Linked DNA regions of Danio rerio. The protein of the gene in region 1 interacts with the protein of each later gene in a pairwise test. Links are inferred from orthologs where the notes say so. Each region holds a gene or a part of one and is shown in the gene's direction. Other genes may lie near its edges.

Region 1 (3,830 bases):
TCTTTTGGGGGAGTTGAGTTTGATTTCAGTTTATAGTGTTTTTGTTGTTGTTGTATTTGTGTTATTTATTGTGCTGGCACTGGCGGACTTTGCCAAAAGAATATAATTTTTTTTATTCAATTTTATGTTTTATAGATGTTGCTGTTTCTTCTTTATATACATATATATTTTCTTTTTTTTTGTTCTTCTTTTTTACATTTGATTTTAGTTTACTTTTTTGTTATTGTTATCTATTTATTGTGCAGTTTGTTTCCCTTAGTTTGAGTTGGTTTGTTTTTTGTTGTTGATGCTTTGTTGTTGTTTCTTCATTTAGTTTTTTGTTAGGTTTGGATATATTTCTTTATTTTGCTATGTTTCATTTGTTTTTTTGATTGTGTTTGGTTTTGTTTTTGTTAGTTTGGCTCTATTTTTGCTTTGTTTTTGTTTAAGGTTATTACAGTTAACGAAAATGAGCGAAAAAACAAAAACTAAAATTTAAAAACATTTTTGTTAACTGAAATAAAAATAAAAATGAGTTTAAAACAAAAAAAACTAGATCTAACTGAAACTGTATTGTGTATATACAAAACCAACTGAAGCTAACTAAGATTATAGCAAAATGTCTTTCGTTTTCATCTTTGTAAATACATTTAATACATAAGCCTTATGTAAGCCTTTTAGAAATAAATTTATTTGCTTCTCGCTGCTTGGTGTTGACCTGTGCGACACCCCAGATTCTGTAATCTTTATGTCATTGGCCAGACCTGCCTGTTCTCCTCCAGTCCTCCCGTGACAAAAACAACAAGTGGACATGACAGCAGCACAGTGAAAGCATTAAATATGACCATGGGAGAGACTTAAAAGTATTAATTTTAACACATTTGTGCCCAATAAAGGGTTTTATTTCTGCCTAATAACAAACAAATCATTCTTTCTAATCAGATCTTCTAAGTCAGGGGTGTCCAAACTCAGTCCTGAAGGGCCGGTGTCCTGCTAAGTTTAGTTCCAACCCCATTCAGACACACCTGGGCTAGCTAATCAAGCTCTTTCTAAGCTTTCTAGAAACAACCTTGCAGGTGTGTTGATGCAAATTGGAGCTAAAATCTGCAGGACACCTGCCATCCAGGACCGAGTTTGGACATCCCTGCTCTAAGAGAACCGGTGAAACTATTTCACTAAATTGAACTGAATCATTTAAAACAATTTGCCTTTCCAGTAAGCACTTATTTACTAACTGCTTACTTTTTAACATCCCGGATACCCCACTCTGACTCAAAATAAACCAGTTTCTCTGGATTATTCAGTTATTTGAACAGTACACAGAAATCAGATTTGAGAACCAGTGAATTGATAATACTGCACATGCATAATTCAGCAGGTGAACTGAACACAAACAGTAAACGACTGCCTGCTGTGACTGAAGTAAACTTGAACAACTGTAGCGCGGGTTTACCAAGGTCAATAAGAGAGTTTGGCAATAGTATCTGGATGCAAGCTGAGATTGCATATCTTAGAGATGCCATGTAAGACACAATGCACTCAATGGAGCTGTTAAGGTCACTGTGAGGGGTAGGGATAGGTGTGTGGGGTTAGGTGAGCACATTAAAATCCATTGGATGCAGCTCAGATTGCACTGCACCAGGTCTACATCCAGACCCCTCTCTGATCCAGCAAAACGTAAGTTTATTTCATAACAGACAATCGTAATGGAATCTAAATAAGTGAATCATGCTTTAGTTGGGTTGCAAAACTTAATTGTAAGAAACTTTTCAGAACATGATGATGTTTTAACTGACTTAAATTATGATTACTGACTATGTATTTTTGATATGTTGAGCCCTAACATGGGAGGATTGTCGCAAAAGATCTGATTCACGTTAAAGATTCGAACTTCCCAACACTACTGTGTGCATCTAACCTCAGAGGCAGCCTTGCACACATATTGTGCTTAGGGCTGCTATTTCATAGGCTGTTGAATTTGAATTTCAGCATGGGTAGATGGTAGTGTTCATGTGTCCTCTGTTTCAAAAATGTATCCTTTGTTGAGTTTTTATAATACAGTACTTATTTTGATGATTTTGAATCTTGCACCTAACAAATATCCTTTTTTAGAAAAAGCAACAACAAATAAAATGAATAGTGAAACTAATAAAAACTCAACTAAAACTAAGCAATTTCAAAACATAGAAACTAATAAAAACTAGTAAAAATACTTCTAAAAACTAATTAAAACTTGAAACTAAATAGTCAAAATTAAATAAAAACTAAAACTAATGAAAAATATAAAACTATTAGAACCTTGTTCTTGTTTTATTTTATTTTCTTTGTGTTGTGTTATGTTTCTTTGCTTGGTGTTTGTGGATTTTGTTTTTGTGTTTTTTTATGTATTAGTTAAGAGCGTGGGAACTCTCTTGTGGTTCTCTTGTGTGTCTCTTACTCTCTCTCTCTCACACACACTCTCTCTCTCTCTGACTTTGAACCGTACTTATTCCCATCATTATTATCTGGGTTTCTCCAAAGCGGCTCATTTGGAAGAAGACATGAAGATCCTTTGAGTTCTACTTCCTCGTCCACAACAACGACCACCACCACCTCCTCTGTTACCTCACCTACAGGACACCGCAGCCTGCTGTCCCGGTACAAACACACTTCTCTATAACACAACATTGACAGTAAACACTCAGAGTCTGGTGTGGTAATGAAATGTGTGGATGTGTAACAGGTATTGGGCAGAGGAGAGCGCAGAGAAGGAGAAAGAGAAGGAGAAAGAGTCGGCAACCGTTATCCCTACAATCAACACTGCAGGCACCACCACTACCACATCCACCACTGGAACTGTCCTGGGCTCTGACGGGCGAGAGAGACGCAGGTACACCACACATTATCACGGATGATTCTGATGCTTTCAGTTAAGGCTGATTTAGACTTTTGCATCAATCGCACATGTATGCTCTGCGGCAGATTTTGTGCAGTCGCATAGCCCTTGCCAAGGCTAACGCTTATGCTCACGTGAACCTCTCATAAAATGTAACTACACGTCACAGCAATGCATACCGCAAGCTCTATGATTGATCTGCTTGGTAGCGGTGACAATTGTGGGTGGTGCAGAGTGCTGCGAGCTTGGAGAAGTGAGTGTTTACAAGTGTCGAGTCCTGTGAAGGAGCTTCAGATGGAAACTTTTGTTTTGTGTTTACCTTATAATAAATGTTGTTGCTCGTCCGCTGGTTCCCACTCCAGCTAGCATTTCAGAGGTGTTATTGCAGAACAACACAGCCTGCCCGCAGAAGTATAAATGCAATCGATTAGTGCAGATGTTTAAACCAGCCTTTAGGGATGCTCTGATTAACTAGAAATCACTTTATTTGACCTAATATTTATTGTTTGTTTGTTTGTTTGTTTTTATATATATTTTTAGGTGTATGTTGTGTGTTTTGTCTTTGTTTGTTTGTTTGTTTTAATTTTAATTTGTTTTGGGGGGGTTTTTGACTAGCTTTTTGTGGTGCTTTATTTGGTAAATATTTTATATTTATTTTACATTTTTTTGGTTTGTTTGGTTGCTTTAACTTTAATTTATGTTTTGTTATTTTTAGTTAGTTTCTTTGGGATTTATTTTGTGTATTTAGTGGTGTTTTTTGCTATACATGTTATTTTTTATTTTTTATTTGTTTATTTGTCTGTCTGTTTGATTCCTTTTTGTTTTTGGTTGTTTATTAGTGCTTTGTTTTTTTTTATTTTAATTCATGCTTTATTATTTTTATTTAGTTTTTTGGTATAGTTTTTTTGTTTTGTTTGTTGTCTGGAGTTTTTTGGTACATATTTTGTGTACTTTATTATTTGTTTTTTTGTTTCAT
Region 2 (4,600 bases), about 2.8 Mb from region 1:
CTCCCGATTGCAACCGAAATATTTGAAAATGTTTGTAGACTGATGGTGTTTATGCCATTCAACCTTATAATGTGAGCAAAATCGCCTGGTTTGTCATCACTTTAGACATTATGCGAGAGAATGATTCAAAAACCAGCTCTCAAGTAACATTGGTGAATTAGTAACGACTTCTGCTGTTTTGACGTCAGCTGCAGATGGGAATGAATGGTAGAAGAAAGTTGTTCCTCGTACAAAAGGGTTTTAGACTCTGTGTTTGTATATATATATATATATATGTATATATATATGTGTATATATATATGTATATATATATGTGTATGTATATATATATATATATATATATATATATATATATATATATATATATATATATATATATATATATATATATATATATATATATATATATATTTATACAACAGTTCTGTCTGGTTCTCAAATCTGATTGGCTGATAGCCGTGCGATATTCTGCAATATCAGAACTCCTACAGCCTCTTTACCCTTTGTGTAGTACTCCGCCCACATACACGCTCAACTGTTTAACTGTCAGCTTATGATTTAAATCCAGAAGAAAGTAGTTCCTCATACAAAAGGGTTTTTAAGACTCTCCATGTTTGATTTTGTTTTTATATACACAATTATGTTGTCAAACTGTTGTATAAACGCAATATCACACGAGTAGCAGTGCGATATTGCTCTATATCTGACTATATCCGGCTACTCGTGTGATATTAGTTATATATATTAGTTATATATAACTTACAATAGCTTACAATATGTAACAACAAATTAAAAACTGGTACAAAATGTGGTACCAGCACACATTATGTAGCAGGTTAATTTAGATAGTGTCAGCTCATGGTACCAAAATAGGGGTGAAATAAATGAATTAACAGCAAATAAAATTAAAACAAAATTTCTCTGTTCCCTCACTTTTCCATGATCCTTCTCTTTTATAGCTATTTATGTGTAATTTTGGTAATCACTTACTTATTCTAGCAAGATATCAATACAAGGATAGGATAGGATTGTTTGAACTATAAAAACTAAGAAAATATACAATTTTTAGCCTGGATACTTGATGTTGAAGATTTAAAGTAAGTGCTTTTACATGTTTGCTTCATCATTTGCTAAAAATAACATTTTTGTCACATTCCTCTGTCTAAAATTGTCTTTCACAAAATTCAATAACTTTTGTATTTGAAAAATTTTGCTTCGTTTTATATGTGCTAACTTTCATTAATTTCTAACACTTTTCGACATTAGATTTAAAGGTTTTTACAGAGAATTTTAAGCACACCATATTTCAGAGAGGATAATAAAATGTTGCATATATTTATATATGAACGTTTCCTTCTATAGACATTAAGAATAAAATGGGGAAAAAACAATTACCATTTAATACATTTGGATTGTTATGTTTATGTTGTTATCACATTTACATAATCGAAATAACACGAGCTTTTATTTTGAAAACCAGTGTAGCCGGTAGACGGAAGTTGGGGTCTGCATTTACTCGCGCGCGCGTGTTGATTATGGCAGGCTCCGGTGACAGCATGCAGAACATAAACAACACACTTAGTGAAATAACCTGTGAAAAACTTACAAACACGCATCTCGAAGCTTTACAAACCCTGACGAGCGCTTTCAGAGATGAGCAGTTCAGGTACCACACACTTCCCAGTTCACAAGATGAACAGAAACGTGTTATTTTGTGCTGAAGTCGATTCTTATGCATTATGATGATCATATGTATTACCATTTTTTTCTGTATCATATCTGAATCATCCCCTTAGCCACTTAAACAAACCAGCAGTGTGTTTTCAAATAATAAACATGCAATAATTGCTTGTGGAGAAAGCTGCTGTAAAACGTTCCTCTTATTGAAAACTGACTAAGCTTTGTCTGGTGTCATTATTGTCATGTTTCAGAGGCAGTGTTGACAGGGAGGTTTTTGGAAATCTCTCTGCGGTGCTGTCAAGGCTTTCTGTGGATGTCCAACGTTTGACAGATGAGACAGAATCACAGGAGGGAGAAGCATCATCTCTGTGCTTTAAACTCACAGCAGAGTGTTTCAGAGCGCACAGAAATGCCTGCGTGCAATGCACTCAAAACCAGTGCAGTCTGAGGTAATGTCTGAGACCTCTCATAGTTTGAAATGAAATTTCTTTAACAGGGACAATTCTCATTAATCAGTAGTAAAACTGTAAATAAGCCAGAGTTAGCCATAAGGGCTAATTTTCATCTGTTGAACCATGCCAGATTTTAAAAAGGCAACCTAAAACCAGCTTTATTACACGTACAATAACAGTAAATTACATGCATTAAAAAAGACAGAACAAGAATGCCATAAAAAGCTAAAGAAAAGAATTACACATGATTACGAACTTGATTTGCTTTTAGCCATTTCTTTAACTTGTATTTGAATGTTAAACAATTTGTAATACCCCTTAAATCAATAGGATGTTTATTCCAGAAATGACTGGCTCTAACTGAGAAGACTGACGTGCAAAAGTTGTAAGTCTAAACTGCACAGCTCAGTCTCCTCTAGTCATATATCATGTTGCTCTACCATTATTCCTCGTCTGTGTCACAAACTCACATAATGAAGGTGGAGCAAATCCATTTAAAATTTTACAAATCCTACAAGCAACAGCCAAATAATTCATATTATCAGAGCTCAATAAATACTGTTTTTGTATAATATTACAGTGATGATACCTTATAATACTCTTTTGATCAAATACTTTAGGGGCTCTATTTTGACGGTCCATGCGCAGAGCGCAAAACGCAGGGCGCAAACGCTTTCAGGGCGTGTCAGAACACAGTTTTGCTAAATTAAGGACAGGAAAATCCGCTTTGCGTCGTGGCGCATAGTCTAAAAGGGTTGAGTTTATATTCTTTATGAGTTATAGGTGTGTTTTGAGAATAAACCAATTAGAGTATCATCTCCCATTCCCTTTAAGAGCCAGCTGCGTCGCGCCATAAGCGCATTCGCTATTTACAGGACGTAAAGTAAGTCTAAGTGGAAAAAATTTGCATTTCACAAGCAAACAGTTAACAGTTTTTTTAACAGAAAACTGTTAAATAGAGCATCTACTCCGTAAGAATGAGAGATAATGGATGTATTTTCACTTTCGCTCGTGGATAGGGAAACCTTTGCGCATAGACATCAATTAGTCTATAAATAATTAATTGCGTTTGTTAAGCGCAAATAATAGTTTCAAAACTGTTTCTAAATTCAGTTCTAATTTCCAGCAAACGAATAAATGAACAATAATAACAAAGTGTGCTCGAAAACCTGAGTTATATCCTAAAACACATGCTGTGCCCCATATGGTCTAAAACCTGACAGGTGGGCTAATCTAAGCTTGTTTTTAATAAAACAAATATAAATATGGATATAATAAATAATACTGCTAATAATAATAACATTATACAAAAGCAAATTGTTATGAATGAACTGAAAAAGCCTCCTGAGATGAAGAAGGCATAAAAGCAGTGATTTTTCATATTTATGTAGGCTAGAAAATAGTATGTTTTGTAATATTTTAATCCTTTATAATTATATCCTATATCTATTCTTATTATATCATATATATATATATATATATATATATATATATATATATATATATATATATATATATATATCCTTAATATTAAATTTTTTTCATATGTAAAGATATTTGCCTATTGCTCTCTTGTGCGTATTAAGCAGTGCGTAAGCGAGGCGCAACTCTGCGCCGGAGTTTAGACCGGGTTTGTTTTGGTCTACTGAAAAATCTATTTTAGTTTCTCAAAATAGCGACGCGCCAGCGGTACACCTCAGAACGCCTTCCTTTTTAGACCAGAACGCCTATGGCCGCACATATGAGTGCTAATGCATTTGCTATTTAAACAGCGTAGCGCAACGCCTCAAAACGACTATTGCGCCGCGCCTTGTGCCACATTGTGCCGGGTGCATGATAGGGCAATAGGTGTCTGTTTATAAAGTGAATCAACTGATTTTAAAACAGTTTTACTTTACAGAAAAATTGTTGTATATATATATATAATGACAAATTATGTTAAATAATCTTGATTACAACATTGATGAATATGACTTCTGCCATAATCTCAAGCAGCCCTACTTTGTACATACACTTGAAGTCATAGTTTGAAATAAAATTTCTTTAACGGGGACAATTCACAACAACACATTGTCTTCACTGCAAGAACGTTTTTGTTTTGCAATAGAATTTTTTTTTTCAGATTTTTCATAATTTCTGGATGCCAAAATCAAAAATGAAACTGTTTTTCGGATTAATTGCACAGACCTATTAAAAAGAGTCAAATGATAAATGTCAATATTGTCCTCATTGATCCTTATATAATTTTATTATATTTGCCTGCAAGTTGATATTTATTGGAGAATTGTGTACAGTATGTTTTTGAATGAGATGACTGTGTTCTGTTAGTTTAATAGTATAATTATAGCTATAGGATAATATCTTGATGGATTGTTGCTTTTTTAGAAATGCTGTTAGTTTCACGTGCATTTTGAACCTTGTATTTATTATGTATTTTAAAATATTTATTTTGTAGATTAATTTATGCA

The links.
Region 2: the proteins of ppp1r12a (region 1) and atxn10 interact in binary tests that used the Homo sapiens proteins (3 or more experiments, as listed by UniProt). The link is inferred for Danio rerio from reciprocal best matches to the Homo sapiens genes PPP1R12A and ATXN10.

The regions. Positions count from the first base shown.
Region 1 is NC_133179.1:22,108,975-22,112,804, reverse strand, and holds part of ppp1r12a (protein phosphatase 1 regulatory subunit 12A), read left to right. Parts: intron 1-2,499; coding exon 2,500-2,616; intron 2,617-2,701; coding exon 2,702-2,848; intron 2,849-3,830. UniProt on the Homo sapiens protein: Key regulator of protein phosphatase 1C (PPP1C). Mediates binding to myosin. As part of the PPP1C complex, involved in dephosphorylation of PLK1. Capable of inhibiting HIF1AN-dependent suppression of HIF1A activity.
Region 2 is NC_133179.1:19,330,879-19,335,478, reverse strand, and holds the start of atxn10 (ataxin-10), read left to right. Parts: upstream 1-1,492; 5' UTR 1,493-1,535; coding exon 1,536-1,666; intron 1,667-1,931; coding exon 1,932-2,129; intron 2,130-4,600. UniProt on the Homo sapiens protein: May play a role in the regulation of cytokinesis. May play a role in signaling by stimulating protein glycosylation. Induces neuritogenesis by activating the Ras-MAP kinase pathway and is necessary for the survival of cerebellar neurons.